Linked DNA regions of Tamandua tetradactyla. The protein of the gene in region 3 interacts with the protein of the main gene of each other region in a pairwise test. Links are inferred from orthologs where the notes say so. Each region holds a gene or a part of one and is shown on either strand. Other genes may lie near its edges.

Region 1 (7,442 bases), on a different chromosome or scaffold from region 3:
ATCCATAAAATTTAAAACAAGATAAAACTTTGCAGCACCTAACAATGTTGTATGAAACAATAACATCATTTAAAAATGTTCATGGAAAAGTAAGTAAACAAGAGGAGCAATAAGAAATCATTGTTGAATTTACACAGTATATATTAACACATAGAAAAAGATTGATTGGGGCAGAACACGGTGACTTAGCAGGCAGAGTTCTCGCCTGCCATGCCGTAGACCCAGGTTCAATTCCCAGTGCCTGCTTGTGCAAAAATAAAAAGGAAGAAGACTGATTGGCTACTGTATTAGGGTTCTCAAGAAAAATAAAACCAACAGTAAGTATATTGTGTGTATGTGTGTATGTGTGTGAGAGAGAGAAAGAGAGAGAGTATAAGATTATAAGGAATTGGCTCACATAACTACTCTGGGTGCAGCCCCATCTCAGCAGGGCAGAATGCAAGCTGGAAACTCCAATAGAGGTGATGCCCCAGTCCTTCATCTGATATCCCCCAGGGAAGGTGGATGGCTGGGAATTGCAAAAGGCAATGGTCTAGTTGAGGCAGAAATTCTTCTAACCTCTGAAATCCTTAGTTCTGGCTTTTCAGACTTCCTACTAATTGGATGAGGAGTCTTTTGGCACTGCTGAAAGCTAACCCCTTTGTTGATTATAGTATAATTTGTGTGTGTATGTGAGAGAGAGAGAGTGTAGATGCAATAAACTAATTATGGGTGCAAACACCACCTATAAAACACCCTCACAGTAACAAGCAGTCTAGTGTTTGACCAAACAACTGGATACCATAACCTGGCTAAATTGATAGGTGAAATAAAATATCACAATATACAAAAATGGGATTTTGAATGACTTATTTTTTTTCTTTTTCCTTCAGTGTTTTTTTTTTTTTTTTTTTGAGGGGGTACATGGTCAGGGAATCAAACCTGGGTCTCCCGCATGAAAGGCGGGCATTCTAACCACTGAATTACCCGTGCACCCTCCTTCAATGCATTTTTAAACAATTCTTAGTGATAAACACTGAATTATTTTTATAAAGTGGAAAATATGCATTAATTTTTGTAAAAAGGAAAATAAAAACAAACTGTTCCTTTAAAATAATAATTAGTAATTTAATCTTGATCCAAGTTGAGAGAATGAAAATATGAGAGGTATCATGATGAGTAGGGAAAATGAAATACAAGATTTAAAAGCAACTTAAAGAGAGGAACGAGGAAGATGGAAGAACTGTGGGAAACTGCTTATGGCACCGGCAGTGTGCCGGCCATCTTGTGGTCTGATGCCATCTTAGGGACTAACTCAAGTTAAATTTCTATTTCCTCACTTCTGCTCTGCCCTTCCCCCAAATCAGCTGACCAACCTCGGCTGATCCACCTTTGCTATCTTAGTCTCTGCAGATTGGCCTAGCTGCAGTGCAATGCCCATCACCTGCTAACGCCTGATACAAGGCACTTCCCCTGTCCCGCTGGATAAATACCCTGCATTTACCCTCAATAAATTGAGACGTGATCAGAAACCTGTCTTGTCTCCATTTTCTGTGTCTTTTGTCCCATCTGTTCTCACTCCCTCCCTCAGGTCCAGGTTCATCTGCCGCGTGGGTCGGGACAAAGAACCATTTTTGTGAATTGTGTCTCAGTCCAGACATTGTGCCATGCGTAGATGCTAGACCTTTCATTTTTATCACATGATAAAACCTTAAATTTGGCAAAGTATACTAAGAATAAAGAAACATAAAGTTCTTGAATTTTTTTTTTCTTTCTTTAGGATCTGAAGAGCTGATAATTTATTTATTTCTAGACATGATAATGATTTGGAAATTAAGTGCAGTGCACAAAATAAACACGATGAATATTTCTTTTTAGTAATTTGGGTGTCCCCTTAGCTTCTATGTCTGATTATTATTGATGCAGTGGTGTTATTTCCACAAAGTATAGTTCCTTGTACCATGTAAGACTTTTTTTGAGCACTTATTTCATTTAATCCCGCCAAAACCCTGAGAAGTTGTTTGCACCATTCCCATGTTATAGATGAAGAAACAAAAATTCAGCAAGGTTACATGATTTCCCAACATCTCAGCAAGGCTGAAAGCAAATGGAAACTATCAAAATCAAATTTTTCATGGATTATTCTCAAACTGAGCATTACTTTGAAGAACACTATTATAGCAATTATGAAACTATGCCATAAAAAATCACAGTACAGATTTTACAGCTTCCTTTAGCCAGTCATATTATAGTTTTGCACATTCTATGTGCGTGTGGCAAAAAAAAAAAAAAAATGTTGTCAGGTTCTGTTAGTAATACTGAGGTTGAGTATTTTAGCAAGGCTCTATACTTGACTTCTAGTTTGATTTACAAAATATGTATGTAAAAAAAGATGAATCAATGTTACTTAAGAGGTATACTTTTGGTAGGGCGATTATAATGCCTATTAAATAATGAATTAGACATCCAAGAGCTTTTTAGGATAATTTAAAGATTAAATCAGAGGCAGATACCATTAGGCTAATTTACTGAAATATTATACTTTTGTTTTCTTACCCATAAAGTGGACTTTAAAACACAAGAATTAGAAATAGTCTCTAAGGAACATAAGCAATCATTAAAATTAGCCTCTGGCCACAGAGCTCCTTATTACCCCAGTTCTGGTTACTTTTAAGGGTGACATAAACCCATACTGACTCTAGGTTCCTTTATTCACATTGACCTTTTCTTCCATTCCACTAATGCCCAAAATAATTTGTGTAGCATCCAACTTTTCCTTTGAGCTCTAGAAACCTTTATCAAACTAAACATTTGCATTTAGTTGTCTCATAGGTATTTGAAAGGTAATCTATCCAAAAGGGATCTCTTATCTTACCCTCAAACCTAATTAGGCCTCAATCCTCACCATCTCAGGAAACGGCAATGCCATACATCCAGTTTCTCAAACCAGAAATTTGAGCATCGTACTTGGTTCCTTACTTCACATTACCCTCACGCCCAGTGACCCAACCAGCCTTTTCTTAATACCTTCTAACTGTATCTTGAATCCACCCAGCAGCCTTTACCTCCACATTCAGTATGGTACAGCCCAAACCTCCTTACAGCACATCCACGCCCAAACACCCTCTTCCAGGATTAGTCATCAGACAACAGCCAGATCATCTTTTAATAAAAATTTTAAAAGGTAAATTTATTTATTTTTATTTTTAAATGCATTTGTTCTTTTGTTTTTAGCCCACATTTTTAGTCATTTTAAATCTTTTAAAACAAAAATTGAAATAATATAAATCACCATGAATTTTTTCAATGGTTTATCTATATATTGCATCCTCCATATTAAATATATATTTCATAATCATTTATTTTAAGAAATTTATTAAAGAATAATTAACATATAATAAACTGTCCATGTTAAAACTACAATTTGATGGAGATTTGAAAATACATATATACATCAGAAGCCATTGCCACATACAAAATAACAAATACCCATCGCGCCCAAGAGTTTCTTCATGGCACTTGCAATGCTTAGCTCTCTCCCCTCTGCACTCATGTCCCTAGGGAACCACTGATCTGCTTTTTGTCACTTAAGATCAATTGACATTTTCTGGAATTTTACAGAAATGGAATAATAATTCCACTTGCTCTTAAACAGCTCATATGAGTTTTAATTAATTTCTCCATTTCCACTCTTCCAAAATGGGGGTGGGGGGGGTTGTGTACTCAGGGTGAGCAAGTTTAGTAACTATTTTGGGAGAAATTCCAGAGGGATTTGTTCAGGTTTTACAGTGACTAGCAAAACTCCTGAGACACCTGCAGTTTTTCAAATAGATTTTTAAAACATCAATTAATAATATTTTTCACTAAAAATTTAAAAAAACATTTTGTTCTAGATTTGTCTTTTTTTTTTTTTTAACAGTAATTATCTTGGTTTGTGGAGATTCTGTCTTTCTAAAGACCTTATGTTAGTCAAAGCAGTTTTTACTCAAAGGGCTTTATGTGTGTTTACCAAATAATTAAATCTTAAAAGTTTGCATTGTAAAGAATATTCCCTTCTGTAAGAATTTTTCAAAAACTTTTCCAAAAGAAGTTTGTTTCCTTATTTAAATATATTAAATAATAAGCTGTTTTATCTTTCATATTGTGTATAATTTTTACAAAGTTCATTGAATTTTTATTTCAAAACTTTTATTTTTCTTCCTAGAATAATCATAGCATTTTTGTTGTCTTGTTGCTTTACAAGGAATGTTTTAAGTTGCCCTTTACCACAATGAGTATGAAAGAAAATACCAAAGTACTACTAATTCAGTTCTTATTGGAATTTGAAATTCTCCGCGAGCTAAGTAGTTAAAAAAAAAATGCATCACTAAATAAAAAGTATTTTAATAGCATCTTTTTTATTTTAATAGCATCTTTTAACAACATTTTAATTGTTGTCACATTTCATCTTTGTTTAGGGAGACGTCTTGTGCACAGCCGCGGGATCTAGAGAACAAGTAAGATTTAAAACATGCTGGGGTTTTGTGGTTGTTGTTTTCTTGTCTGCCTTTCCAATTTTCTTTATTATTTAATAGTATTTCTTTACTACTGTCAGTTGTAGCTTATTAGAAAAATGTTAATAATTTTATTAAGAAGTATGGGAAAAAAGTAAACTTTCAACACTTTCAGATTTTTTTGGAGGCTTAAAAAAAACTGACATAAATTTTCTGTATATGGTAAGCAGATAGCAAGAGGTTACAGATAAAGTGAAATTTCAAGCCCTAGGTAATGGGCATGATTTTAAGGTCAAGGATGATTATGAAACCAAAGAATGAATTTTTACAAGCTAATGGTTATAAATACTTTGGTACAATCATTTTATTTTGATCTGATGCCCGTCTATGGTAATAGGTCACTGAGTGACTTGATTCCCTCAAACCCTACCTGTAATGGAGGTATTACACCATTAAAACCAGAAAACCTGGACGGCATGGGCTATTCCCTAAGAACTACCACTGATATTGGAATGAGATATGTTTGGGATGATGAAAGAGCATTCAATTAATGGACTATCTCAGAGAAAGGATGGGATAGTGGTTAAAAGGAAAGCAAATAAGTAAGAAAAATGAAAAGAGGGAAGAATTGAAATACTTTAAAGAAATAAGGGAGAAGGCAGATCTCCATAAGAATAAAGAGAGTTAACAGATAAATTATATCTAGGTTTACAATAAATTACATATGTGTCACTATCAACATGTGGAAGAAAGGAGAGATATACCAAATTAAAGAGTAGAGATTAGGGACTGGAAACGAAAGAGATAGAGGCAGAACATACAATAGGTTGTGCTCTAGAGAAAGAGAGAAAGAAAGCAATAAACAACAGTGAAGAAAGCTGCATTTTTTTTTTTTTTTTTGCTAGTTAGCTTGTTTGGCTGTTGAGAGTTAGCTAAAATTCAAGTTTTAGTGATTTAAAGAATAGAGGCATTGAGTAATTTTTTTATTTCATTGAAAAAGAAAAAGTTTTAGTAATCATGGGATTATTTGATCTTTCTGAGAATCCTGCTTCATGCTTAATTTAAGCCATGTTTAAGTGAAGAAACTGTTTCTTGATTTATTTCAAATGTTCTAAACTCACTATACCCATGAAATCATTTGCCTACTTAAAAGGGAAAAGCATGCATTTAGGGTGATGAAATAAGTCATTAAAGTGTATTTCTAATCCACAGAAAGCATATGCTAAACAATTCAAATTTACACTGGGAACATTTCAAATTACTCCTCCATTCAGGGACACAAAACCTTAGAATTACCCTGCAGTTATGCTGTAATTACTGTTGGCTGGCAAAGGAAAGGTTAACAGTAGCATTGATCTCACTTGTAATGCACAAATTCACCAAGGAATCTTGCAGTATTTGACAGTGTTTCTATCCCAAAGCATAAACCATAATGATTCACCAAGGTAACCTCCATTTTCATTGGCACAAAGATACAAATAAGTGAGAAATTGTTTTTTAAAAGCACTTTGTGTTCTAGGTTTGTGATTGTTATTGTTCCTTTTTTGTTGTTGTTGTTCATTTATTTTTGCTTTGTTTTAGTGGCTATTATGTGTTACTTGCTTATCATCACGTAAAAAACGGTTTCTTGCTAACAGTTGAAGTGTCATGGGTAAAAAAGTAGATGTATATGGAATCCATTATTTAAGAAGCTATCACTACTAGTTTACCCACCATCATCCATTATTTTAGCAACTACAGAGCAGATTTCACCCATGCTGGGGTAGAGAGAGCCATTGTCTCTGACTAAATCTGAAACTGGGGTGAGATTCCCAGGGCTTCTATGTAATCTCCTTGACCTTGATGTTCTAAAGTTTAAAATGGAGATAAGCTTATCAATGGACAGGATGGTTATGGTGTTTGAAATATTTACCAATCTGAAAGCCATTGGAATTTGGTCAGCATTTCTGGATGACATTCCTCGTAAGACCTGGGTTCTAGCTCTTTACTTACATCCTCTTATCCAGAATCCCACAAACCACACAAATGACTTGACTGCCAGTGTTTGTACTTGTTATTCAATTTTACCATTAAAAGAAGTAACTGTAGGGGTAGTTCAACCTTTCATTTAAATAGCATTAGCCATTATCTTCATAGCTCCATATCTGGAATGCATAAAAAGTCCTTCAGTCTCATAAAAAAACCCCACACCTAGTTACCTGGAACTTTACATTGCTCTAATAGAATGAAGCAAGGACTCCCTTCCCCATTTTAATCCCACTAGGGTAGGTGGCTTTACATATATTACTTCATATAATCTTCAAATCAATTATGTAAGGAATATCTGATTGTTTCCATTTTTCAGATACTTCTCAGAAAAGCTTATAAACATGACTGAGATCGCACAGCTCCAAAAGGGAAAGAGTTGGAATTGGAACCCCGAGCTCTTTCCCCACAATGCATGTACATTACCAAACAACCTGCTGCCTTCACTGGTGAAATATAATGTTTTCAGTGCAAATGTTTTTGGGAGAATTATCACAGTGATTTAGTCCACACTGATTTGGAGAAAACATTTCATAGTAGAGAGGAGGGAGAGTGAAAGAGCTCACAATTCCCAAGGAGGGCCAGTGATTGAAAGTGTAAGCCATGGGCCGCAGAGGCCTCTCGCTGACTGAAGCTGTGTCTTGGACAACTTATTGGTTTTCTTTTCTTCCTTAAGAACAACCCAAAGATCCTCTTTCCTGTGTGCCCCAGCTTTTTTTGCTGATGGTGTGAAATCTGTGGTTCATTTGAGTTAGTCTAAGTATACTTGCTGAAGTTCAGGAAATGCATATTGAACGGTCCCTTTGAGACAAAAGTCCCTTGAACTTCTTTAATAAAAGAAAAAGGGTGTTAAAAAAAACCTGAGGCCTTGGATGATTGGTTGTTTAATTTAAAAAACAATCATGTTCTGTTCAATTTAAGTTAAACAAGTTTTATGCTTTTTTT
Region 2 (7,903 bases), on a different chromosome or scaffold from region 3:
TTTGTTCTTCTTTCTCAAGATTATTTTGGCTTTTGGGGGGTCCCTTGCAATTCCATACGTATTTTAGAATCAGCTTGCCAATTTCTGCCCAGAAGCCAGTTGGGATTTTGATACAGTCTATATTAAAGCTGTAGATCACCTTTATTTTTTTTTTGGGGGGGGGAGGGGAATTGCTTATGTTAGAAATGTGTAGTTTTCCAACCCATAAACGTGGATATCTTTCCATTTATTTAGGTTATCATTCATTTTTCAGCAATGTTTTGTTGTTTTCAGCATATACGTTTTGCACTTCTTTTAGTAGGTCTACTCCTAAATTCTTTTTTTTTGAGCTATTATAAATCGAATCGTCCTCTTAGTTTCATTTTCAGTTTGTCCAGTACTACTGCATAGGAACACAATTGATACCTGTTTATGACCTTGTATGCTGCCACCTTGGTGAATTCTTCTACTAGTTCTAATAGATTTTTTTAGTGGCTTTGTCAGGATTTCCTATGTACAAGCCTGTTGAGTGTGCAAATACAAATGGTTTTACTTAATCCCCTTTTTTTTTTTTTATCTTGATGACATTTACTTCATTTTCTTGCCTAACTGCTCTGATTAGAACTTCCAGTACAGTATTGAATAACGATGGTGACAGCGGGCATCCTTGTCTCATTTCTGATCTTTGGGGGAAAGCTTTCAGTCTTTCCTCATTGAGTGTAATGTTAGCTGTGGGTTTTTCATAAATGTCCTTTACCAGGTTGAGGCGTTTCCTTCTTTTTTTAGTTTGTTTAATCTGTTTTCTTTTTTTAAATCATAAACGGATGTTGACTGTTCTGGTTTGCTAGCTGCCAGAATGCAATATACCAGAAACGGAATGGCTTTTAACAAAGGGAATTTAATGTGTGGCTAGTTTAACAGTTCTAAGGCCGAGAAAATGTCCCAATTAAAACAAGTCTATAGAAATGTCCAATTTAAGGCATCCAGGGAAAGATACCTTGGTTCAAGAAGGCTGATGACGTTCAATGTTTCTCTCTCAGCTGGAAGGGCACGTGGTGAACATGGCGGCGCCTGCTGGCTTTCACGTGGCTCTACCAAAAGGGGACTCTCTCCCAAATGTTTCCTCTTTTAAAGGATTCTAGCAAGTAACTCCACCTTCAGTGGGTGGAGACACACCCCCATGGAAATCATCTAATCAAGAGTTACCACCCACAATTGGGTGGGTCACATCTTCATGGAAACAATCAAAATGCTCCCACCCAGCAATATTGAATGAGGATAAAAAGGCATGGCTTTTCTGGGGTCCACCACAGATTCAGACTACCACATTGACCTTTGTCAAATGTGACAGCCAGGGTTTGAACCCATGCCTGCCTGACTCCAGAATTCCAACCCTTACCTGCAAAGCTGCATCAGTGGATCCCACGTGGAGCCCAATGAAGAGCAAGGCACTCAGCAGAGTGTGTGTGTGTGTGTGTGTGGGGGGTGGTTCCCACCTGTCCCCTTGCTCTTTCGCATTTGAAGTGAACTTGCAGAGAGAGCGATGTTCAATTTGAAAGACTATGTGACAATGGTGGAATCTCTTGTCGTGAGGCAATGTTGTAGCAGAGATATTTCCAACCTGTCTCCCAGGAATTTAAATCCGGATCCTGAATGCGCCTGAGAGTGGCTGTGTCCAAACCTAGCAACAGGCGGCTGGTGGTTTGCTGGTGGGACCCCCAGAGTTGTCTCAAAAAAAACACAACCGAACTGATCATGGTGATAAATATACTACTGTGTGATGATATTGTGAGCCATTGATTGTACACCATGCACAGAATGTCTGCATGTCAAGAATGCTCATGTTTGCGTGTTGTTTTGGTTTGGTAATACAAAATAAATAAAAAAAAAAAAACCACAATGGAGCATGCACAGGTAGTTCAGTGGTAGAATGCTCTTCTTTCAAGCAGAAGGCCTGGGTTCGATTCCCAGACTATGCACCACTCCCCCAAAAAAAACCCAAAAACCCTCAATGGATTTAATTGCCAGGTGCTGGGAGACAGTAGGGTGTGGGGGGGAGGTCTGGCTGGCAAAGGATGGGGAGAAGGGCCCCTTCCACAGAGAGGGAATTGTTCATTAACTAAACTATTCACCCAACAAACAATAAGTCACACCTACAGCGTGCCAGGTGCCCTCCACACCCCACTTTCCAATTCTAGTGCTTTCCCCAGTGCAAAACTTTGAGATTCAAACCACTCCCTTGGGGAGCACTTTTCTCCCCTCTTCAGTTATCTGCAAGGTTTGGCTCGTGGGAAGCCTTGGTTTTGTGCTGCTGCAACCCTAAGGTCTTTCTGAAACTTGCCCACCTCTAGCCAGGATCTCACTAGAATATTATGTTCTTGTCTATGGTCAACTTCCGTTTCTGGCCAGCGATCCCGATTTTCCCATTTACAATGTCCACTTTTATCGAGCAGCCCTTTCTTGAGTCCGTATTCCATGCCCGGTGCTGCCTGGACAAGCTGTAACTTGTTTCACAACCCTAGGAGGGAGAGGCTATTATCATCCTCACTTACAGGCAGGAAAAGCAGGGCTAGAGAGGGAAACAGAAAACGAACAGGCAAAAACATAAAATTACTCTGAATTGTGGTAGATATTCTGGCATCGGGAGGCAGACGGCCATGTGTGACCATTTTGGTGGGATGGTGGGGGAGCTGTCAGAGACTAGATGGTGTAGGGGGATCTGGCCTTGGAAAGAGTAGGAGGAACAGAATTAGAGACAGAGGGAATAGCATGTGCAAAGGCCCTGAGGCAGGACTGGGCCTGGCCTGCTGGAGGAGAAGCTAGAAGGCCCCTGTGGCTGGAGCAGAGGGACTGAGGGGGAGAATGGGAGGAGGGGAGGGCTGGAAAGGGACGAGGTGGGGGGCAGATCGTTCAGGAGCTTATGGGTTACAGGGAGGACTCGGGCTTTTATCCCCAACAAGGTATGAGGAGTGTGACTTCCAGGAGGCAGGGATTGTGTGCACTGCTTGGGTTACTTCTGTCTCCCCAGCCCAGTGCATAGGCTGAACGGATGGGTTTACTGGGTACATGCGGCACTTGTATCTTTTTTTCTTTTTGCATGATCAGGCACCGGGAATCGAACCCGGGTCTCCGGCATGGCAGGTGAGAACTCTGCTTGCTGAGCCACCGTGGCCCACCCATGACACTGTATTTTCCTTGTTTGATCACAAGAAGCCTTCAAAGTATCCCTTTTTGCAGATGGGGGCACTGAGGCTCAGAGTATGCAAGTGATTCATGCAAGGTCCCTCCCCTTAAAGAAAAAGGAGGTTGGGCCAGGCTCCAGACCCTCCAGACCCCAGCATTCCTGCCTCCATCGAGCACTTGAGGTTTGAACACCTAGTGGGTCTGACATCCGCGCACAGACCATCCCATATTGTCCTGGAAGGTGGGGCAGTGTCCCCTCTGAATGGAGACAAGAAAACAGCCAGGCCAGGGTCATTCAGACAGGAAGGACGACAGAGTGGGTTCCACTAACCTGCCCGCTGCACTGGCCGCTGGGAAACTCAGGAGCTTAATTTAGGCTCTTTGTTTAATTATTCATCATCTCCTCTCTCTTCTCCTGTTTATGACTTCCGCCTTCCCATTTTGTTCCCGGGGTTAATGCTTCTTTGTTTATCTGCCTCTTTAGCCCCGAATGAATGAATCAACGATTTTAGAGGAAAAAAACCAAAACACAAAATTCTATACTTGATTCCCTCTCAGGGCATCTGGACCTCTCTATGTATGTACCTGGAGGAAATAAATGCTTTCAACATACTCAAAAACACGGTAACTCGAGTGCAATGTGGGTTGGCATTTTTGAGCCTCCAAACTTGCCCCACCACTGCCCGTGAGAGTAACTTTTTAATTTTTTCATATGTTCTCCCCACCCACAGGCCAGGCAGGCACATCCTCACAATCCATCTTCACGCTGTCTGCGTGATGAGGCGCTACCTTTGCCCCCTCTGGCAGATGGGGCGCTTGAGACCCGGAGAAGCAAATCCATTTTTGCAAGTGGGGAGACTGACGCTCAGGGTTCCACACAGCGAGTCACAGTCTGCGCTGGTTTGTCCTCACTCCACCTCAGCAGGGAACGGTCACAGCAGGTGAGATGCGTGTTGAAGTGGTTACTCTGCACCCCCCCCCCACGTCATCCATTCACTCATCCATTCAGTCAATATTTAGGGATCCCCAGTCCCCGAGGAGAGGGCTCTGCGCGTGTCCCCTCATTCATGGAGTCACATCCTAGCGTGACTAGAATACAAGCGGGAATGATGGAATGGCTGGCGGCCCGACCAGAGAGGCTCTCTCCCCGGAGCTGAGGTTGAAGTGGAAATCTGAAAAGAGGAGGAGAAGGAAAAGCATTCCTGGCAGGGGGAAAGGGAAGGACAAAAGCCCTGAGCCAGGAACGAACTTGGCATGTTGGAGGGACCCGAAGAGGCCCGGAGCTGGGTGACCCGAGGGCCAGGGCTGTGGGTGGGAATTTCGGGCCAGGTGGGCCGAGGCGAGGCAGCTGGCTTTGATTCCAAAGGCTAAAAGTGAGCCCCAGCAGGGTTTACAGCCAGACATGACATCCGCCGCGGCCTCCAGGGCCGGAGCGGCCCCTCTGTGTTAACACCGCCGCCCACGTGCTTCCGCGGGACCCGGCAGTCCCCACGTGCTCCCGCGGCCCTTTAAACGCCCCCGGACCACGTGCCGGGCCCGTGCCTCCTCATTGGCGGAGGGGGGCGTGGCGACTGCGCGGCTGCGCAGTGACGGGCGCGGGCCGGCTCCGCCCCCGGGCCGGCGGCGGGCGGTGCTGGCGGAAGGGATGACGTCACCGGCTGGGCTGGTTAGGGAGGGCGGGTGGGGGGGTGGCGCGCGAGCCGCAGTGAGTGTCCCCGCGCCGCCCGCCCGGCAGCCCGGCCGGCGCGCGCACGCCGCGAGCCGCTGGCGCTCGGGGCTCCGCTCGGCTTCCATGCACCAGCCAGGATGTGAAGCGGGGCAGAGCCCGGGGAGCCCAGCCCAGCCTGCCTGCAGGTAACGGGGGAAGAGATGCATGCCCTCGATGCCCCCCACCCCAGAAAAATAATAGCCAGTCCCCCAGCCCCACCCCCGCAAAGCCATCCAGGCGCTCGGCTGGGGGTGGGGTGTGGGGGGTTCTTGGCGGCAGCGGAGTGGGCAGCGCGCCGGCTTTGTGCCCGGCAAGCCCGCACGGCCATTGTGCGCGGGGGAGGCTGCTCGGCTGCAGCCCGCTGCCCTCCCAGCGCTGCGTCGGGAGAGCTGCCTCCCAACAATGCCCCCGAGGGGCTGGGCCGCGGGGAGGGCTCTGCTGGCGGGGGGAGGGGGGACTTCGCCCCGCGGCGTGGGAGTGTGTGTGGGGGGACTGGGTGGGAATGGCCCGGAGCCCCCCGCTGGAAGCTTCCCAAGCGCCGCGGGCTGCACCACCCGGGGCTGCGGGCGAGGCAGAAGCGCGGAGGGGGGACGCGCTTGTGTGTGTGTGTGTGTGTGTGTGTGTGTGAGTGTGTGTGAGTGTGTGTGGCGGGGGTGCCGGCCCCAGCTGGACCGGGGATGGGTTCTGGAGGCAGGGGGCGCTGTGTTGGGGGTGCGCTGCGCCCCGGAGTGGAGATGAGCCTAGGATGTGTGGCTCGAGACGGGAGCCGGGGTGGGGGTGGGGGGCACGGGTCCGGCCGGTGCGCCCGGGGCGGCTGCGGCGCCCACCGCCTGCTCTTTCCGGATCTGCCCCCTCCCCGGGGGTACCCCTGACTCAACCCACTTTCTTCCTCACCGCCTCCCCACCCCGTAGATCCCTTGGGGTGCGCCCCTCCGACACCCTTGTCCTTGCCCCACCCTTCTGCGGCCCGGCGCCCCCTCCTCTTTTCCCCAGGCGGGACGAGCCCGGACCTCCGGCCCCAGGGGCTCCGGCCGACCGGCGTACGCGCCGGACACCCCGACCTCGCTTCGGGAGCTGGGGGCCCCGTGGGGATCCCCGGAGAGGGGAAGCCGCCCCTGGAGCTACCAGCCCCGCGGACTCTGCAAGCCCCGGGAGCCCCCTGGGGGGACTGGGGGGTAGCGGTGACGTCATCCCTGGGGGCGGGTCCGTCGGAATCAGGTTGAAGGGGGCGCGGGGTGGGGGCGCGGGGCGTGTTCTAAGGGGAGACCCCACGGGTTAGCATCTCTGCACCCTGCACGCGTGGGTTCGGCCAATCTAGGGGCCAAGTTCACTGCTCTTCAGGAGACTCTCCCCTCCTAGATTTAGGATCCCTTCTTAGCACTGTTCCCGGCAAATCCTGGACCCTTTGCCTACCAAAGCTCCCCCCCCCTAAATTGGGGAACTCCCATTCAGCCTCTTTCTCTCCAAAATTCTCAAATCAGGGAACACCCCACAAACTGGAATCTTTCCTCAGCCACACCTCCCCCCCCCCAATCTGGAACCCGGGTTCTTCAGTGACGCCTACCCCCCATCTGAAATCTTCCTTCAGTGGCTCCCCAAATATGCATCTGTTGAGGGCACCCCTTCCTCGGCCACCCTCCCTCAAATTCAGCCACCTCTTAGGGATCCCAAAATCCATCTCCCTAGCACTTCCTTCAGGGGGGCCATTCCCCTCCCTCCCTGCTCAGCCGGGATTCCCTCGCACCCCTATCTCAATCGGGGGTTAGAGTGCCCATTCCGAGCATCGGTGGAGTCTACCTTTGGCTGAACCCCTGAAAAATCAGCCTGGCCACCGCGGCTGATGAGGGGGGTCTGAGGTATCCCCTGTCCCAGCTGAGTGCCAGGGATGCTGAGAAGCTGGGACAAAGCCAGTGGTTCTCCAAGGGTCCTAAGGTTGGGGACCCCCCTCTCTGGTCCTCCACCAGCTTCTACCCTGACTTTGGTTGCTGGGATTCCAGCCTTTTCTCTATGTGCCCCCTCCCCCCATGGCTGCTGTCCCTGGGGTGCAGGGGATACGGTCCCCTCTTTGTCCGGGGCACCCTTCTTTCCCCTCGGAGCCGCTTTCTGCCCGCGAGGAGAGAGTGAGCGAGCCAGCCGGCGCCTCTGCCCCGGTGATGCCAGCTGCTGCAGCTGCTGCTGCTGCTGGAGGTTTTATTAATGACCGAGGGACTCGGTCGATTCTGCCATTTGCATAGCTCCCCTCCCCCTCCCCGGGTTCCTTTGTACCCCCCTCCCCCTGCCAATCTTGCCTTCTGTCCCTTGGCTCCTTTCTTCTTCCTTTGCCAGATGATACTTTGGCGGCGGAAGACAGGCAGCTGGGGCTGGGGGCGGCCGCTCCCCGCCTCTCAAATCCCAGCGCCCACAGGCTTGGACCTGTGACTGGACAAACCACCCCTCCAGTGTCCCCCCTCTCCGCCAGTGCCCTCCGCCTGGCATCTCTTTCTGCCTGCTGTCTGTCTGTGTCTCTAGGTGCTTCCCCTCCAGAAAGCCTCATACTGCCCCGGCCACCCTACCCCCCCACCCCCAAACCTGCCAAGGGGGTTTGTCCCTTTATCATGACGATGCACTTCTGCATGGGGCACTCCCCCCCCCCCCAGCCCCTTGGGGACCATCACACTCGCTCTGAGAGTTGGTGTAATTAGGCTCAGGCAAACAGAACCATCACGGGAGACCCAGCCTGGCTGGTGAGCTTATGGCCTTTTCTATTTCTGTCACCCTAGCCGATGACATTGGCACCACCCGCCCCCCCCCCCCGGAAGGGGTGCCAGGTGGGGGGGGTGCTGGTACTGTCGTGTCAGTGTCTGTCCCCGGAGGCGGTGGCTTGGCCTGCCCCTCATCCCCTGGTGGGGATGGATGATGGGTGATTCTGGCGTGGCCTAAGGGGTGGCATTGGAGGGGTGGGGTTGGGGGCTGGCTGGCTGCTCCCCCAGGGTCCCTCACCAGGCGATGTGCGGTGGGCGCAGATCCGAGCCCTTAAGCACAGGCATCCGCCTC
Region 3 (7,940 bases):
GAAGGAGATCGTGATGTCTGGCTTGGACCAACCCTGGTTTGCTCTGGGGGTCTGGGCACATGGCCCCACCCCAAAGGCAGCTCTGGTGGCAGTAGGAATGGCTAATACAAGTGCTTCCAACTCACCCAACCCTCGCAGCAATCCTGCAAGGTGGTATTAGCCTTGCTTTACAAGTGAGGAATTGGAGGTTCAGAGAGGTCAAGCATCTTACCTAAGGATGCACAGCATTGGTAAAAAGACGCAGAACCAAGGTTCAAACCTGGCTTCCTGGTTCCGGAGTCCACACTTAACAACCTCGGTGAGGAAGGGACACATTTGAAGAGGGGAAGAGGGTCCAGAGCTGGGAGCCAGCTGGGAGGGAGCCGGTCCCCTCTCATTGTGCAGCCACTTGCACATTCCTTGGATGGATGGCATTTTTTTTATGTGGCTCCGTCTGATGAGCACGATAAAGCTGTCAAGAAAAGCAAGTGGCGGGAGGTTTACGATTTCCTTCAAACTATAATTGCACAGATGAATGAGGCAAACGCCTTTGTGCCAGTGCAGGAGGTGGCGAGAGCCCTCAGAGCTGGCGCATTCATTGAAACTGGCATTGTGCTGGGGCAATCCGTACGCCCCAGCCATCATAGGGGGCAGTACTTCGGTGGCCGGTCATTGATCTGGGGGTTTTGACCTCAGCTTGGGGTCCTGGAAAGGCCACTTCAGTGTAGCAGCAAGAACACAGGGGCTTTGGAGCCAGTGAGTCTTGGGTTCAATTGCTGCTTCCCCCTCTCCCAAATTATGAGCTACGAGGTGTTGGACGCATAATTTAGTCTGTGTTCTCATCCCTAGAGGATCTGGTGAAGTCATAAGGATAAACTACTCTGCAAACGTGATTTTCCCATGAGTTCACAGAGGTGTCCATGCTCCTGGGGACAGACACGCATTAACCGAGCTCAAGGCGGGCTCATTGATAGACCAATAATTCAATGAATTGGCTTATCTGCGGAGGATACCAGAATCCTCAGGCAGCTCCCCTGCTTGGTGGCCACTGAGAACTTCGTCTCCTCTTCTGCCACATTGGGAAAACAGGGGAACAGCAGTGTGGGGATGATTTTAATAATTAAATGAGATGAAAAAACAAAACATTAGCTCTCTTTCTTTCCCTTTCTCCTCTTTAAAGATCTCTCCTTTAGTGGGGTACATGTGGGAAACCAAACTCAGACCCTAAGGGATACTTTAGCCAAGCCAGGGAAGCCCAGGGCCCAAAGCTCCTGTCCTGGGGATTGGATTACACAGGCCACCCTGGGGCCCCCCTGGATAAAATGCTTTCTCTTTGCTTGACCCTTAAAGAGAACATTCTTTGATCACAACAACTTGGCACATGGACCAGAATTCAAGAGCGCTGGATGTCTAGTTGCTCCTGTCCCACCTTTGTCCCCAGCTCGTGGGGGGCCTGTGGGCCAATCAATCAGCAGCCACACCCCCACGGGCTCTTATGGCTGAGACCCTCCCACACTGTCAACAGGCCACTCATTAGAATTCTAGGTGGGCAGGGCCCACACCCTGACCTCTATGGGGGATCTCTTGCTTGGGGGTCCTGGTGGGGCTTCTGATTGACAACTAACCACATTATCTAAATTTCCATCCACCCCTGAGGGGGTTGGGATTCCAGGCTGTTGCTTCTGCGGCACAACCTGAGTCCTGGTAAGAGACTCTCTGGGACCACCCCTCTCCCCATATTTTCTTTTTTCAAGGCTTTAACAGAAAAACTGGGGTGAAAACATCATTTTCCATCTTTGTGGTTTTCCTGAGCCTTATCAGGATGACATGCAATCTAGGAGATGCTTTTCAGATCAATAACTCTGGTGTATAGTTTAGCTGGGTGGTATAGAAATAACTACATTTAAAAGTCATTTTAGCTTCCCAAAAGCAACTCTCCATATTTCGTTCTTGCCAAGATTTTATTAAAGTAACATTCATTTTTGTACTTACTGATAAAAATAAAGCACATTCTCAATAAAGTATCTGGAAAATACAGACTAACAGAAAGAAATGAAAACTACCCACAGTCCCACTCAAAGATAACCACTGCCAACATTCTTATGTATCTATTTCTAGGAAAAAATAATATTTGTTTGAATACAATAAAAGGCTTCCCTATGTAGACATATATACTTTTCTTTTAGAAACCTGAGACTTACATTTTAATTTCACTTTTCTAAAATATTTCATTTAATAAAATAGATTCATTGTTTTAAAATTTATCATATTATTTAATAACATTCTAGACTTTGAATATATAAATTTTACATAATATAAGCTTCATCTATACATACGTTCTTTTTCAAATTTGGGATCACACTGTAATTTGCTTTTTAAATTTTTTTCCCATTTAAAAAAATTAAGGTATAGCTTACATATTAGTGTATGTACACTATACACACAGATCACAAGCACAGTATACATTTTTTTGCCTGCCTTAGCTTCCTAAATTGTGAATGTCACAAAGCATTCTGTTAATTCCAGCTGCAGTGCAAGTCTCTTTCCCTTGGCCCTTTTTCTTCTTCCTGGTTTTGCGATTTGGGAAATGAACTGGATCAAAGTGAATGAAAACCGGTATTTCCATTTTCCTGGAGGTATACCAAGAGGGGTTTGTCCCTCTTCTGCTTGGAAAACTCACCCTTCCAGCTCCAGCTCAGATGTTGCCTCCTCCAGGAAGCCTCTGAGATGACAGCTGGTGGGTGGGTTCTTCCTTCCTCTAGGGTCCCAGCACACCAGCTCACATGCAGTTTATGGGACAGGCACTATTATAGTCTGTTTATTCGCCTTTTCCCCTCCCGGCTGTGGAGGAGGAGGTGGAGATGTCTAAGTAGAGCCCTGTCCCCAGACCTAGGCCACTCACGCGTGCTCGGCAAATGCTCACTGCAGGAACGGAGGGTCTGTCCTGTTGAATCACATTCTGGTGATTGTGCCTATTTCTTACAAGTCAGGTACTTTTTAATTTAATTTAGCTATTTTTAGGGAAAGGAGAAGGGAAGAAAAAGAGAAATAGAGAGGCTGAAAAAGAAAAAGAAAGGAATGAGAAAGGAGAAAGGAGGAAGAGAAGAAGGGGGAAGGAGGGAGGGTGATGTAGGTTGGACAGCACCACATTCTCCATCTGCCCCCCAAAATCTTCATCCAGGTGTAATTATGGGTTGGACGAATTAGGCCGGTACACCTAAGGAGAGCTAGAATGCCTGCAGGTGGTTTGAAGCTGTCTGTTCCCAGAAAAACATGTTTTAAATCTAATCCATTCCTGCGGGTGTGGACCCATTGCAAATAGAATCCTTTGATAAGGCTACACTTCAGTTAAGGTGTGTCCCACCTCATTCAAGACAGGACTTAATCCTTTCACTAGAGTCCTTTATAAACAGAATGAATACCAAGAAAGAAAAACAAAAAGCCTAGAAGAAGCTGAAAGCAAGGAGACCTTGAAGAGACCAGCAGATGCCACTGTGTCCTGCCACGTGGCAGAGGAGCCAAAGCTCACAGGCATATAGTCTTTGGGAAGAAAGCATCACCTTCATGGTGCCTTAATTTGGACATTTTCATGGTCCCAAACCATCAGGTAGTAAATTCCCATTGTCGAAGCTCACACATTTCATGGTGTCTGCAAAAACAACCTGAGAACCAGGGGTAAACTTCATATTTATGTGTAATCACTCAATACACACTTATCGAATGAAAGGAAAGATGGAGGGAAGGTGTGATACTGGACCCTGGGAGGTAAGAACGTCAGAAGCAGCACCTGTCTCAGCGAGCTCAGAGTCGGGAATCCCGAGAGAAGGGCTCTCTTCTCCCCACCCCACGCAGTCGGGGGGCGTGGCTGCCTTCCTACGGCCGGACAGTCGCCAGCGGTGACCGGCACTGGTGTCCTGACATTTGTTTCGCAAAGTTTGCGCTCCAGGAGTCAAACCCGGAGGGGCAGCGCCTGCTTTTATAGATCAAATCCATCTGCAAGAGCCAGCACAGGACCGTCACAGAGCACGCGTTCAAAAACACCTGCAGAAAGAAGGGTAAAAATGACCACCAGAGGCGAGGGCCGCCCCAGCCAGGCTCTCCACTAGTCCCGCGGCAGGTGGGTGTGAATCACTGCCCCACCGGGGAGACCGGACGCCGAGCCCCAGAGGGGCTGCCCTGGGCGGCCGGGCCCAGGGGCGGGAGCTGACCCGGGCGTGGCCGCCCCAAAGCCCGCATTCTCCCCGCGGCGCCACGCTGCGCCTCCGGGTCTCCCCAGGTAGGGCAGGTAGAGCCCGATCCAGGAGTGTCGCGTGGAAACCGCGTCCTTGTGAGCGCGGTAAGGGCAGGTTCGGAGGAGGCGGCGCTCGCAGGCTCCGACCCCGGCTCTGAGCAGTTCCTGGAGCCCGGGGTCGCTTCTCCACGGGGACCCCACCGCCGCCCGCGCCACCCAGGTGAGTGGAGGAGCGACCAGCGGGAAATGCCGGTGCGCAGCGGCCGCGCACAAAGGCCTCGGGTGTCCCGGAGGCTGGGTGGGGAGGACACATCGGCGGCCCCAAGGCCGAACACACGGCCCCGGAAGGCGAGCGGGAGCCCCGAGCCGCAAGCGCTGAGCCCGGAGCTCGGATCCCAGAGTCGTGTACGCACAGGGACCCTCACCTGGGCGGAGCTTGTAGGGGCGGGGCTGCTGTCGCGCCCAGCCAATCAACGCCCGGAAGACTCCGCCCGCCCCCTACCTGGGCAGGCGGCGCTTGCTCATTGGGTCGCCGGTGCCGCGAGCCCGCCCCCGGCGCCGACGCTCGCGCCGACGTGCCCGACGTCGGGCACGTTGACGCCGGTGACGCGCAGGCCGGGCCCGCTCCTCCTCCGCTCCGCCAGTGTCCGGCCGCCGGCCGGCCTTAGTGACTGGGGGCGGCGGGCCCGGGGCCGCGGGAGTCGGGCGGGCGGGCGGGCGCCGGCCGCGGGCTGCCTTCGTCGGCCCCTGAGCTCGCCGGGAGCGAGCAGCCGCCCGCAGCCGCCGCGGAGCCTCCTCGCCCGCTCCCGCCGGTGACAAGGTGAGGGACCCGGGAGACTGAGGTGGGCTGGGGGCGCAGCGGGCCGGGGTGGTCCCCGCGCGCCCCGGGCCCCGGCGCGGGCAGCCTTTCCGTCCGTGCCGCCGGGCTGCGCCGCCCTTCAGATGTCAGCCCCGGGGGAAGGGTCTGCGTCTCCGGGTGCGCACGGGGCTGGGGGCGAGGCCCGCGGCGCCGGGCCAGGGTGGGAGCGCCGCGGCGAGCGCCCGCGGGACCCCCGGGGGACGCGCCCACTCGCCCCGAGGGACCGGGCGCCGGAGCGACGCGCCGCCCTCTTCTCTGGCCGCAGAGACTCCGGGGGCGGCGACACGGTGGGCGTGAGGGGCGAAGACCTGTGGCTGCTGGAAGCCCCTACCCGGGAGGGCCCGCGTTGTGGGTGGCTCCTGCCACCCAGGGGCTGGGGAGGCTGCGGCACCTGACGCGGGAGGGGAAAGGAGCGCCAGGGGGTTGAGCGCCGTCGGGTGTGCTGTCTCTGACATCTCTCTTTTGGGGGTTCACGGTGGTGACCCGGGATCCAGTCCGGACACCTCAGGAGCAGCCACCCCCCCCACGCCCGGTGGTTATGTTTGAGACGCTTAATAGCCTCATAAACTCACCTTTCACTTTCCCTCGCTTCCTAGCGTCCAGGGCTATATCGACCTGCTATATTTCCATTGTGGAATTTTGTGCGTGTGTGTGTGCGCGCGCGCGCGTGTGCTGAAAACTTACGTAAGTTAGGTTGATTGACCAACCATTGTAGCCATTGAAAAACACCTCTCCCAGCCTTTCAGGAATCCACTTCCTTTCACTGTTCACCAAATCCAGCCCAAGACTTGAGGGAGCGCCGTCAGTCCTTCCCAGTAGCTGACTGCACACATTCCTGGGAAATGCCCGATGGATTTTGTACTTGTCAGTTTTACTGGCTGTCTATGCTCCTTCTGTGTTTTTCCTGCAAAAATGATCAGGTGGCATGTGTTTTGGCTTTCTCTCCCCCACCGGGAAATACAGACAAAACAAAAAACCAGCTAAGAAGCAGGCTTGTTTTCAACAACAACAACAAAAATAGCAGCTTTGCAAGCAGAATACCACAGGGTTGATTCTTTATGTGAAGAGTAGTTCTCTTCAGTCTCTACTCCTTCGCTGGGATATTGTCTGTGTCAGTGTCTTCATCTCATGCCACAGCATTTAGGATTTGCACATGCCTGTTTTCCCGGCTTATGGGGAAAGCCCAGCAATCACATCTGAGAATAATGAGATGGTCACTTCTCATCTGTTAGCTCCAGATACCTATAAGGGAGCAGATTTGGGGCAGTAATTGTTTTATGCATAATAACAGCCTTCTGGGTCTCTTCTTTCAAGATGATGTGTGAGGTGATGCCGACCATCAGTGAAGCCGAAGGCCCCCCCCCAGGAGGAGGTGGGAGCCATGGATCGGGTTCCCCTTCACAGCCAGATGCGGATTCCCATTTCGAACAGTTAATGGTCTCTATGCTGGAAGAGAGGGATCGCCTTCTAGACACACTGAGGGAGACGCAGGAGACGCTGGCTCTAACCCAGGGGAGATTGCATGAGGTCGGCCATGAGAGAGACTCCTTGCAGAGACAGCTCAATACTGCACTTCCACAGGTAGGGTGCTTTCAGTTTGCAACACTATAGGTTTTTCCCATTACTTGGTTTCCTTTTTTTAATGGTGGCACTGCTCATACATTCGATGTGTATTTTGTATAATTAACTACTCATGAAATGTTAGTTTCTGGTGATTGGAAGTCAGATGTAGAAAGTAAATTCCTGAGGATTAAACTTTTCAAGGAGAACAAACTCTGTTTTACTTTAAAGTTATGTAAAAATGCCTGTCATCCTGTTCTTGGTGCAACAGAAGAAACTGATTTGGGAAAGTGCTCTGAAGTTTTTGAGAAAGTGCTTGAAAAGTTTTTGAAAAGGACTGTGAAGCAGTCAAGCTTTGTGGTACTTTCAGGTCTCTTGAACTTTTTTTTGTTTTGTTTTGTTTTTGACAGAAGTGTATTTCCCATGGATTGTATCTTGTATATTTCAATTTCCTGTGAAAGTTAATAGGAAGATAGGATTAATTTCACAGAAAAATAATTGTTTTTACAGCCCACCTTTACTAAAACACCTGTGTTCTGTAAATCCTGCTTGTTTTGGAGGTGGAAGACTAGAGATTGATTCCTTAGTAATTTTTGTGTTGGCAGATGAGAATTCTAAAGCTTAAAGTCACGTGGAAGAGCTTACTCTTGAAGTACGTTACGTTTGAATCCGAGTTTCAAAGCCTTTTCTAGTGAAATTGAATGAGGATTTAATGATGGTATGGGGAGAAAGTTAAAACTAGAAAAGTGTACAGTGACTCACCCAGAGTGTAGTTGGAGCAGTGTGGGTTACTTAGGTGTTTCTGAGATATCTAAGTGCCGTTTTATTTAGCCAGAGAGTGTGCCTTCATGGTGCTTTAAGGTGAACCTGAATAAGCATACATCTATACTTTCATGATGAATCTGTAGTGGTAAATTAATAAATTAATAATTAGTAGCCTTAATGCGTTTCTTGGCTCTAGTCAGTTCTCTTGAAAAATTGATAAGCTAAACATTTGGATTTCCTTTTTAGCAACTAGTTTTTCATGTTAATGCTATATATTCCTTTTTTGTTGGATTGAAGAATCACTAAGTTTTTTTTTCTGGTTAGAATCTTCTAAATTGCCAGGTTTGTTTAGATAAGATTTTATTATCATATACCTAAAAGAGTTGGCCAAATTATCATGTTTTATTAGTATTTTATTGTATTTGAAACTCTTTTCAGTATTTTTTAATAATGGTATTTGTTTTCATGTGATGTGAGCTGCATATAGTGAAGTGTTTTTTTAAAGAATGTACACAAAGGACATAAAAGAGAGTGGGGGTGAGTCTC
Region 4 (7,899 bases), on a different chromosome or scaffold from region 3:
CCCCTCAAATACAGTTGTCTTCTTAAAGTAAGATCCTTAAAGTCAGAAACCAAAACCTTCTTTCAGATGTATTAAATGTTAAAATTAAACACACACACACACACACACACACACACACAAATAAATAAAAATTAAATACCAGGCATCAAAGGTAATAAAAAGCCCTTTCCTTCAAAGAATTTACAATCTATAATTGGGAGATTAAACAGATTACATAATCATTAAAAGGTAGAATAAAATAAATGCCTAAGTAGGGTACAAAATGCTGCAGAAGAAATATGGGGAAATTATGAAAGGCTTTGGGAGGGAAGTGACATCTTGTGATGGGCCTTGAAGGAAAGGTTGGTAGGATTTTAACAGTAAGGCTTGAAGACTAAGATGGAATTTGAAGTCAAGTATAAGTATCTAAAGCAAAGGCACTGAGGTATCATCTTTCATACTATCCCCCCAATACTGGATACCATGCAGCAATTCAATAAACTGATTAGTTTAAGATTACTATTCACACCGGGCAATTTTCCTTTGACTCTCACCTTTCACCTAAATAGATGAAAATCCTTCCCATGCACCATCACACTATGGAGGCTCGTGTTAGATTTGACTATGAAGAACGGATAAAGCTAAGAGACATAAATGAAGGGTTCAGGATCCTAAGGAGTAAGGGGCCTAAATTCTACAGCTCTGGTCTTCTAGTTTAGTTAAGAGGGGATAAGGAAGAGGACGCTTTCCTGATCTTGGTACAGTATCCTACCTGAATTCTGAGCTCTCCTATTTCCAGGGGGTCACAGCCAAGATTAAAAGCCAGAGTGGCAGGGACGAGAGCCATTCCCTCAGCCAGGGGCTCTCCCAGCTGTCCAGACCCGGGTCCCAGCCTCTCAGACAGGTCCCAGCGAGGCTCCAGGACCTGCATCTTGGCCAAGTGCGGCTGCGAAGCGTTCGATGTCTCTTCTGCCCGGGCGACCCATACCCACTCGCCCTGGAAGAGGCCAAGACCCCGGAGACAGCTCCTGCTCACCCCCAGTGAGTCTCCGGTCCCTCCCAGAACTCCCCGAAGTCGCCGGACTGTGCCAAGAGCTGCGAAGGAGGACACCACCGGCGGGGGTGGGGGCCGGCAGACGTCTTCAGTCTCCGGGCCCGGTCTGGCCCGCCCGCGCAGCTCCGTCACAGCCAGTCGCGTCCCCGGGCCCAGTAGCCCTTGCAATGCCGGCCGCGTCTCCAGCACCCGTGGTCCGGGCGCAGGGAGGACCTCTCCGCGCCTCACCAGTAACTGCCCAACCCGTGGCACGAGCCCGGGCCCCGGCGAGGTGCCAAGCAGCGCCCAGCCCAGTGCCGGAGGCCGCCGCACCGACCGCGCTCGCACCCACGCCCCGGAGCCCAGTGCCAGGAGCTGCAGCAGCGCGCGGCTAACCAGCAGCTCCGGGGGCCCTGAGCCTGAGCCCTGCTCTTCAGTTCCCGCGCCCGGCCTCTCCAGGGCCGCCACTAGCAGCGCGGGCCCTGCCGGGCTCTCCCCTGCAGGTCGCAGGGCCAGCACCAAGCCTAGCCCCGCCGTAGGCCAGGGGCCCCCGGGTGGCAGCAGCACCGCCAACGGGGGCGTTTCGGTAGGGAAGGGCTCCAGAACTCGCAGCACCGCCAGCGCCATACTGACAGGAGTCCAAACAGGAAGGCGAAAGATCGCGGCTTCCGGAGCCAGCAAGCGGGGCGACGCAACGACGTGTGCGCCGCTTCCGCTTCCACTTCCATTTCCGTCAAGGGAGGCGAGAAGAAAGCGGGAGTGGGTCGCGTGCGGCGAGCATGCTCTGAGAGGGATGCGCGGCGCCTTGAATTAATTGATCAGGATGGTGACTTGATGGCAGTAACCATTAACGCGGCGGTTGCGCAGCCTTTACGCATGCGCCCTTTGAGCCTATGTTTACAGGAGTTTACGTTCCGTACCTTTTAGAAGAGTAACGTGCTCTCCGCTTTACAGTTTATTAATTGACCAATGAACAACCAGCGTGTCTGAACTTGGCTTGGTACTGGGATCTGTGGGTGGAGTGTTTGGGGAGTCCATCCTCCTGTGAGCGCCCGCAGTGGAACCGCAGGCACTGAGGTTTGGGAATTGGGACGATTGCAGAAGGAAGTGGTAGGGTTATAAAACTCTGTCTTAGACCTGCTTATGGATATGTAGTGGTTGCTGGCTGAAATACTACATGTGATTCATGTAGTTCTGGAGTGCTTGGTGCTGCCACACCTGTTCCAACAGACATCCTACACAAAACCCACGTTCCAACGTTTCTTGTCCTGTTCATTGTCTTGTTCGTTCTACTCCCACAAGAATGGAAGCGAAGACAAAGCTGCATTGCTCTTTCATCTCCCCCCAACCAGTTGCTCTCCCCCACCAACCTTCACAGACTGGAGCCCATTCCGTTTCTACCTTAGAGGAGGCAGAGAGAGCAGCAGAGCAGGCCTAATTATGGGAGGGGGTCGAAGCTTCTGTCATAAGCACGGAGCACCAAGCCTGCTTCCCACTTGTGCTGTAACTTAAATTCCATCCTTGTGTCCACCCCCACTGCTCTGTACAAGACAGTCAGACACTGGTAAGCCACACATTTGCAATTATTACTATATTTGCACTGAACGTCAGTGGATTGAATGGTGGGAATTTACTTTCTGAACTTAGCAGTCTTTTCTAGCTGCTGCCCAGCTATCTCTTTTCCTTAACAGCTAAACATTGTGAAGCAGTCTTCTACTTTGTAGATTATGCACTCCTGAAAAAAAAAGTTTGAAAGTCAAATATCTGAAAGTTGAATATTAGATGTGCATGTTATGAGAAATATCTGTCCCCAGAAAGGGAAGAAAAAAAAAACTTAAAAAGTTGTTTACCGCCACATCTATACAAAAGTGTTCATGAATTTAAGTACCTGGATTTCATGGATGAAAGTTCCCCTTTGGTAGCATTAAGCTATATGTGGCTCTGTCCCCTGCATACCAGTGGTACCAAGGACTGGGAGAGTGGAGGGGAGGTAGGCAGGCAAGGAAGATACCTGCTTTACACAGAAGCAGGCAAACTCTAGGCCTCAGGGCTGTGATGCTTCTTGGAGTCTTGCAGATGGGTAAATATATCTGGCATCCTGCCTGGAGTCCCATTACCCATATCGACACAAATACCCCTCCACAAATAAATGTCCTTTCCTCCTAGGCTTATCCCCCAGTAAATAATGGCATGCCATCATTTTGCTCACTTTTAAATCATCATTAGTCATAGAAAAGTCAATCAAGTTCTGTAAGTAGCCTGTATTTGCCATCTTTACTTTCCTACTTCTTGCTCACTCTTCAATTCACCATAATCTTGCTTCTACTCCTCTGAAACTCCCCTGGTGAAGATCACCCATAACTTCCCAATTGTAGAATCCATGGTCTGCTGTTTGATCTTTATCTTATTCAACCTTTCTAGAATCTAACACTATTAACCAGTCCTCTTTCCTGAAAATATTTTATTCCCTTTGCTGTCATGACACCAGCTTTCCTCCTACGTCTCTGGGATGTCTGAAGTCATCCTCAACTCCCTCCTTTCCTTTACCACCCCCCATAATCCAGTGCATCATTGTTGGATCCTACATATTGCCCAATTCCAACTCCTCCACCCCCATGGCCACTGTACTATAGCATTGCTCTCCTGAGCAAGGACCACGGCTTATTCTTTTATTTTATTTTATTTTTTTAAATATCAAAAACACCAAACAAACACAAACATTCCTATTTTGATCATTCCATTCTATATATATAATCCATAATTCACAATATCATCACATAGTTGCATACTCATCATCATGATCACTTCTTGGAACATCTGCATCTATTCAGAATAAGAAATAAAACGAAACACAGGCTTATTCTTGATGAACCTTCTCCAATTTCTTCATATAACCAATCTGCTGCTGAAGTGGCCTTTCTGAAACATATGTCTTCAAGCCTCTCCTAGGCTTGTGTAGTTGGTCGATCACATTGTATCTTTTTTTTTTTTTTGCATGTGCAGGCACCAGGAATCCAACCGGGCCTCCAGCATGGCAGACAGGAATCCAGCCAGGATTGCACCACCCTATCACATTGTATCTTAATCATCTGTTTTTACAAATCTGTGAATGCCGCCGAACTGTGCACTCCTTGAGGTCAGGAAATGAGTCTAATGAGTCTTATCCATAAAGTCACTGGCTTGGGCAGGATGGAGGGAAGGGATGGATTTCTTGAGACACTGGCAATGGAGTTGCTTTTCTGTCTTGTCAACTGCTCAAGTCTAGCTGATTCCCCAATCTCAAAACATTTGCAGTAGGAATTGGCGACCCACTTCCCAAAATTGGAATGAAGTCGGGATGAGAACCCTAGATGGCAGCCAGGTCAGGTTCTTCTGCAGTTCCCGTCCAGGGAGGCAGACACCCTCAGAGGTCTCTTGGGACCACTCTCTACTAATTTTGCTCATGCAATTAAGCGCTGCTTTGCTCCGATGAAGGAAACTGCCCTTCATTTTAGGGCTTCTTTCTTTCAATTCAGACTGGGCAGGTTAGCAGAGTGGGGAAAGTGTGAGAACCACTTCTGGAAGGAATAAGCAAAGCTCCAAAGGCTGCGAAGAATGGCCAAGGCCGACGCACACCGTACGCTGGAGTACTGCACTCGGAGCCAAGCCTGGGTTTCCCCTTACCCCCGCCTCCTTCGCTAAGCTCGACCCACTTTAAGGCGGGACCTCCCACTTCAACCAATTCTGGGAGCTGAACCCTGGCGGTTTGTACTCTTTCTTTCCAATGGGAAAAAAAGGAAGCAGCTTGGCTCCAATGGCCAATCCGAGGAGGCGGCGCCGGGTTGTCAGGCAGGTTTGTAAGAGTTCGGGCCAATTGGAGGCGCAGACACCTCTCGACCGGGGCGCAGCGCGCAGGCGGTGGCAAAGAGACGGCGGAGCGGGCCGAGTGCGGCCGAGCAAAGCCGGGGCCGGAGCGGGGCCGCAGGAGCCGGGCTGGGTCCGGACGGGCCGAGATGCCCTATAAACTGAAGAAGGAGAAGGTGAGCGTGGTCCTTTCCCCCGCGCCTCCGCCTTGGGGCCTGCGCGGAGCTCTGGGAGGGGCCCGAGCCAGGCCCGGGACAGCCCAGACTGACCCTCCCGTCTGGCCCCCGCAGGACTCCCCGGTCCAGCCTGTCGCCCCGCGGCTCGCAGCACCACCAGCCTGTGCCGCAGCTGGGACAGCTCCCCTACCTTGGCCGGAACCCATTCCTCTCAAATACACCTCCCACTCTTCCTCCTGCCTCCTATCCCCGGCCCCGGGTAACCTCCTCCCTCCAGATCTGCCCCACTCCCAGGTCACTCCCTTGCTTTTTCGCCCCCGCCCCTTCCTCCCAACCTTCCCCCTCCGCCCCACACCCGTTAGGGACAGCCCCACTCATCTGAGAAAGCACCTCGCTCCAGATCTACCCCCTCCCCCTTGCAGAGCCCCTTCCCTTCTCTTTTCACCGCCTAGATGGCCTCCTTCTCTCTCTGCGCCAAGCCCCCTGACCCAGGAGGCAGGTTTCTCTCTCTTCCACCCGAATCTGGACTAGGCCCCTCCCTCTAGTTCTTCACACACAAACTTGTGAGCCCTTCCTTCTGTGGATGGAGCCTCAGAACGTCAGCACTGGAAACGACTTCTCAGCACCGGCAGTCCAGCCTCTAGTGGGACAGATGAGGGGACTGAGGTCCTGGGATGGGACTTGTCCAAGGTCACACAGACTGCCGGAAGCAGAGCTGCAGTATCGGGTCTCCTGACCTAAAGCCCCCCACTCCCAACCCCAGCAGTTATCAACTGGCTCCCAGATTCATCCTAGACTAGTCATCCTTTCTAATCTGAGCAGGCGCCTCCCCTTATTCCTAATCCTAGGATAACCTTTGCATTTTTAATTTTTGCAGCAGTGCTGGATTTCTGTCTTTCCTGGGTCACACTGTTCTCAAATCAGGAATCGGTCTCAAAGTCAGATTAGTTTTCCTTCTTACCCCCATGGGTCAGCCACCCGTGGACACCCATGCCTTTGTCATGGTGTCTTGACACAAGCCATTTCTTGATGTTGCCTTCTTCCACCTTCCTCTTCTTGAGCCATATCACCTTTCCCTCTTCCTCATCCCTGCTTTTTTCTACCCTCTGTTTCCTGCTGTTGCTGTTGGTCTGACTCAGAGGTGTGGTTCCTTTGAGGTACAGACTCACACAGAGGATGCTAGAATACCAGTTCCAGCCACCCCCAGCTTCTCCTCCCCTGGGACCGGCCCCTCATGGTGGGGCTGGCTCTGGCCTGGTGTTCTGGCTGCCCGCTTTATGACCCCAGAGGTGTATTGCTTTCATTTGCTTTCTGATTGGATTGGCTAAGTTGCTAGGCTGCCATCTCTAGGACCTTATCAATCAAACTCTATCCTGGGGCTATTGGAGATTTGCCAGGCAGCTGTGATTCTGGGTTGTCCCCATAACCTCTTGGCCTGAGGTTTGGAATATGGGTTTGGTGATAGTATAATAGCTACTAAACCTCCTGGGGTGCTAGCTGGGCAGGATTGTGTGCCCCTGTCCTTGGGGAGTGGGCATGCAAGGTGATTGGGGCAGCTTAGCTGTAGATGATGCACATAAAGGTCAGCCACACTAGGGGCTCCTTCAAGGAATGTGGAAGGGAGCAGAACTCAGTTGAGGTCCCCGCCATTGATAGCTTTTACTCTGATGGAGCAGATACTGTCCTTTCCACAGAGAGCTGTTGCCTACTGGATAATTGAAAAGAAGAAAAAGTCTTAATTAGACTTGTGAGGGCCACGGTATAAGTATTTGATTGAGAAAGGGTGTTGGGATCAGGTGCATGCAGCCAGGCATAACGCTGATTCCCTTTCAGGTTTAACTTTCAGCTTGATTTTTGGCTGCATTTGGCCTCCTTCAATAGTTGGTAAGTCCTGAGGGAGGAGGGAGGTAAAAATGAGACTGAGGTTTGCCTGGATGAGGCTGGGCAGAAAGAGTGGCCAGTGAGTAGAGGATCTTCATTGCTCACACATCACTTCTCCTCTCTCCTTCATCTCTCCTAGTCTCAATCCTGGCCATCCTTACAGTCTCCTCCCTAAAGTCTTGTCAGTCTTCAGTTGGGAGTGAACTCTCCCTCATCCCCTCGATTTGCAGAACACTTGATAGGCAGCTTATGGACTGGAATTTATTGTGGACAAATTTTTTCTTCCCCCTTGAGATAAACACCATTTTGGTTTTAGCATCTCCCTTGCACACAGTAGGCTGTATGTGGATAGGTGCTGAGTCAGTCTTGGGGAGATTTTCATCCCTCCCCTTCCCTCTTTTTCTGACCTGGGATTTCTCTTATTTAGGTTCCTGGGTAGAGTATCCCTGTTCCCTCCCATTTTCTTCTTGTTCATAATAACAATAATAGTGACCAACCTTTAGAGTTCTTACATGCCAGGCACTCTGTAAGGGAGGTAGGAACTGTGTATGTCACCGTTTAATGGATGAGGAAACTGAGGCTCAGGGAGGCTAGTTAACTTGCCCATGATTATACAGCTAGGAAAAGTTGGACCCAGAACATAAGGCTGACTCCCAAACCCATTTTTTTAAAACCATGGGGCTCCCCAGCACTTGTGCATGGCCAGGCTGAAGTACATACATACCTGTTTCCAAGACCCAGGAAACAAGGGTGACAGGCCTAGTTTCCCCACATGCACACACACTCACTCCCACACTCACCCTGCTTCAAGGGCAGCAAGAATATCTCTTAGGTACCTTCCCTGAGGGATACGTCTGAGGCATTGTGGTAAGTGCCTAAGGTTGGTGGAGGGGGACAATAAAGAATAAGGAGCTTATGATCAAGTAGAGAAAAAGAGAAATCAAACGTGTGTGCAGATGGGTCAGCCCTGTTGGAGAAGCCCATGAC

The links.
Region 1: the proteins of PPFIA1 (region 3) and PTPRD interact in a two-hybrid assay, tested with the Homo sapiens proteins (2 studies listed by BioGRID). The link is inferred for Tamandua tetradactyla from reciprocal best matches to the Homo sapiens genes PPFIA1 and PTPRD.
Region 2: the proteins of PPFIA1 (region 3) and PTPRS interact in a two-hybrid assay, tested with the Homo sapiens proteins (2 studies listed by BioGRID). The link is inferred for Tamandua tetradactyla from reciprocal best matches to the Homo sapiens genes PPFIA1 and PTPRS.
Region 4: the proteins of PPFIA1 (region 3) and PPP2R5D interact in binary tests that used the Homo sapiens proteins (3 or more experiments, as listed by UniProt). The link is inferred for Tamandua tetradactyla from reciprocal best matches to the Homo sapiens genes PPFIA1 and PPP2R5D.

The regions. Positions count from the first base shown.
Region 1 is NC_135328.1:88,631,924-88,639,365, forward strand, and holds the start of PTPRD (receptor-type tyrosine-protein phosphatase delta), read left to right. Parts: upstream 1-4,436; 5' UTR 4,437-4,475; intron 4,476-7,442.
Region 2 is NC_135337.1:76,748,740-76,756,642, forward strand, and holds the start of PTPRS (receptor-type tyrosine-protein phosphatase S), read left to right. Parts: upstream 1-4,900; 5' UTR 4,901-5,016; intron 5,017-7,903. UniProt on the Homo sapiens protein: Cell surface receptor that binds to glycosaminoglycans, including chondroitin sulfate proteoglycans and heparan sulfate proteoglycan.
Region 3 is NC_135335.1:4,371,061-4,379,000, reverse strand, and holds the start of PPFIA1 (liprin-alpha-1), read left to right. Parts: upstream 1-4,940; 5' UTR 4,941-5,030; intron 5,031-6,383; coding exon 6,384-6,650; intron 6,651-7,940. UniProt on the Homo sapiens protein: May regulate the disassembly of focal adhesions. May localize receptor-like tyrosine phosphatases type 2A at specific sites on the plasma membrane, possibly regulating their interaction with the extracellular environment and their association with substrates.
Region 4 is NC_135331.1:100,571,657-100,579,555, forward strand, and holds the start of PPP2R5D (serine/threonine-protein phosphatase 2A 56 kDa regulatory subunit delta isoform), read left to right. Parts: upstream 1-4,888; 5' UTR 4,889-5,004; coding exon 5,005-5,031; intron 5,032-7,899. Other genes in the region: PEX6 (peroxisome biogenesis factor 6), read right to left, coding at 752-1,639. UniProt on the Homo sapiens protein: The B regulatory subunit might modulate substrate selectivity and catalytic activity, and might also direct the localization of the catalytic enzyme to a particular subcellular compartment.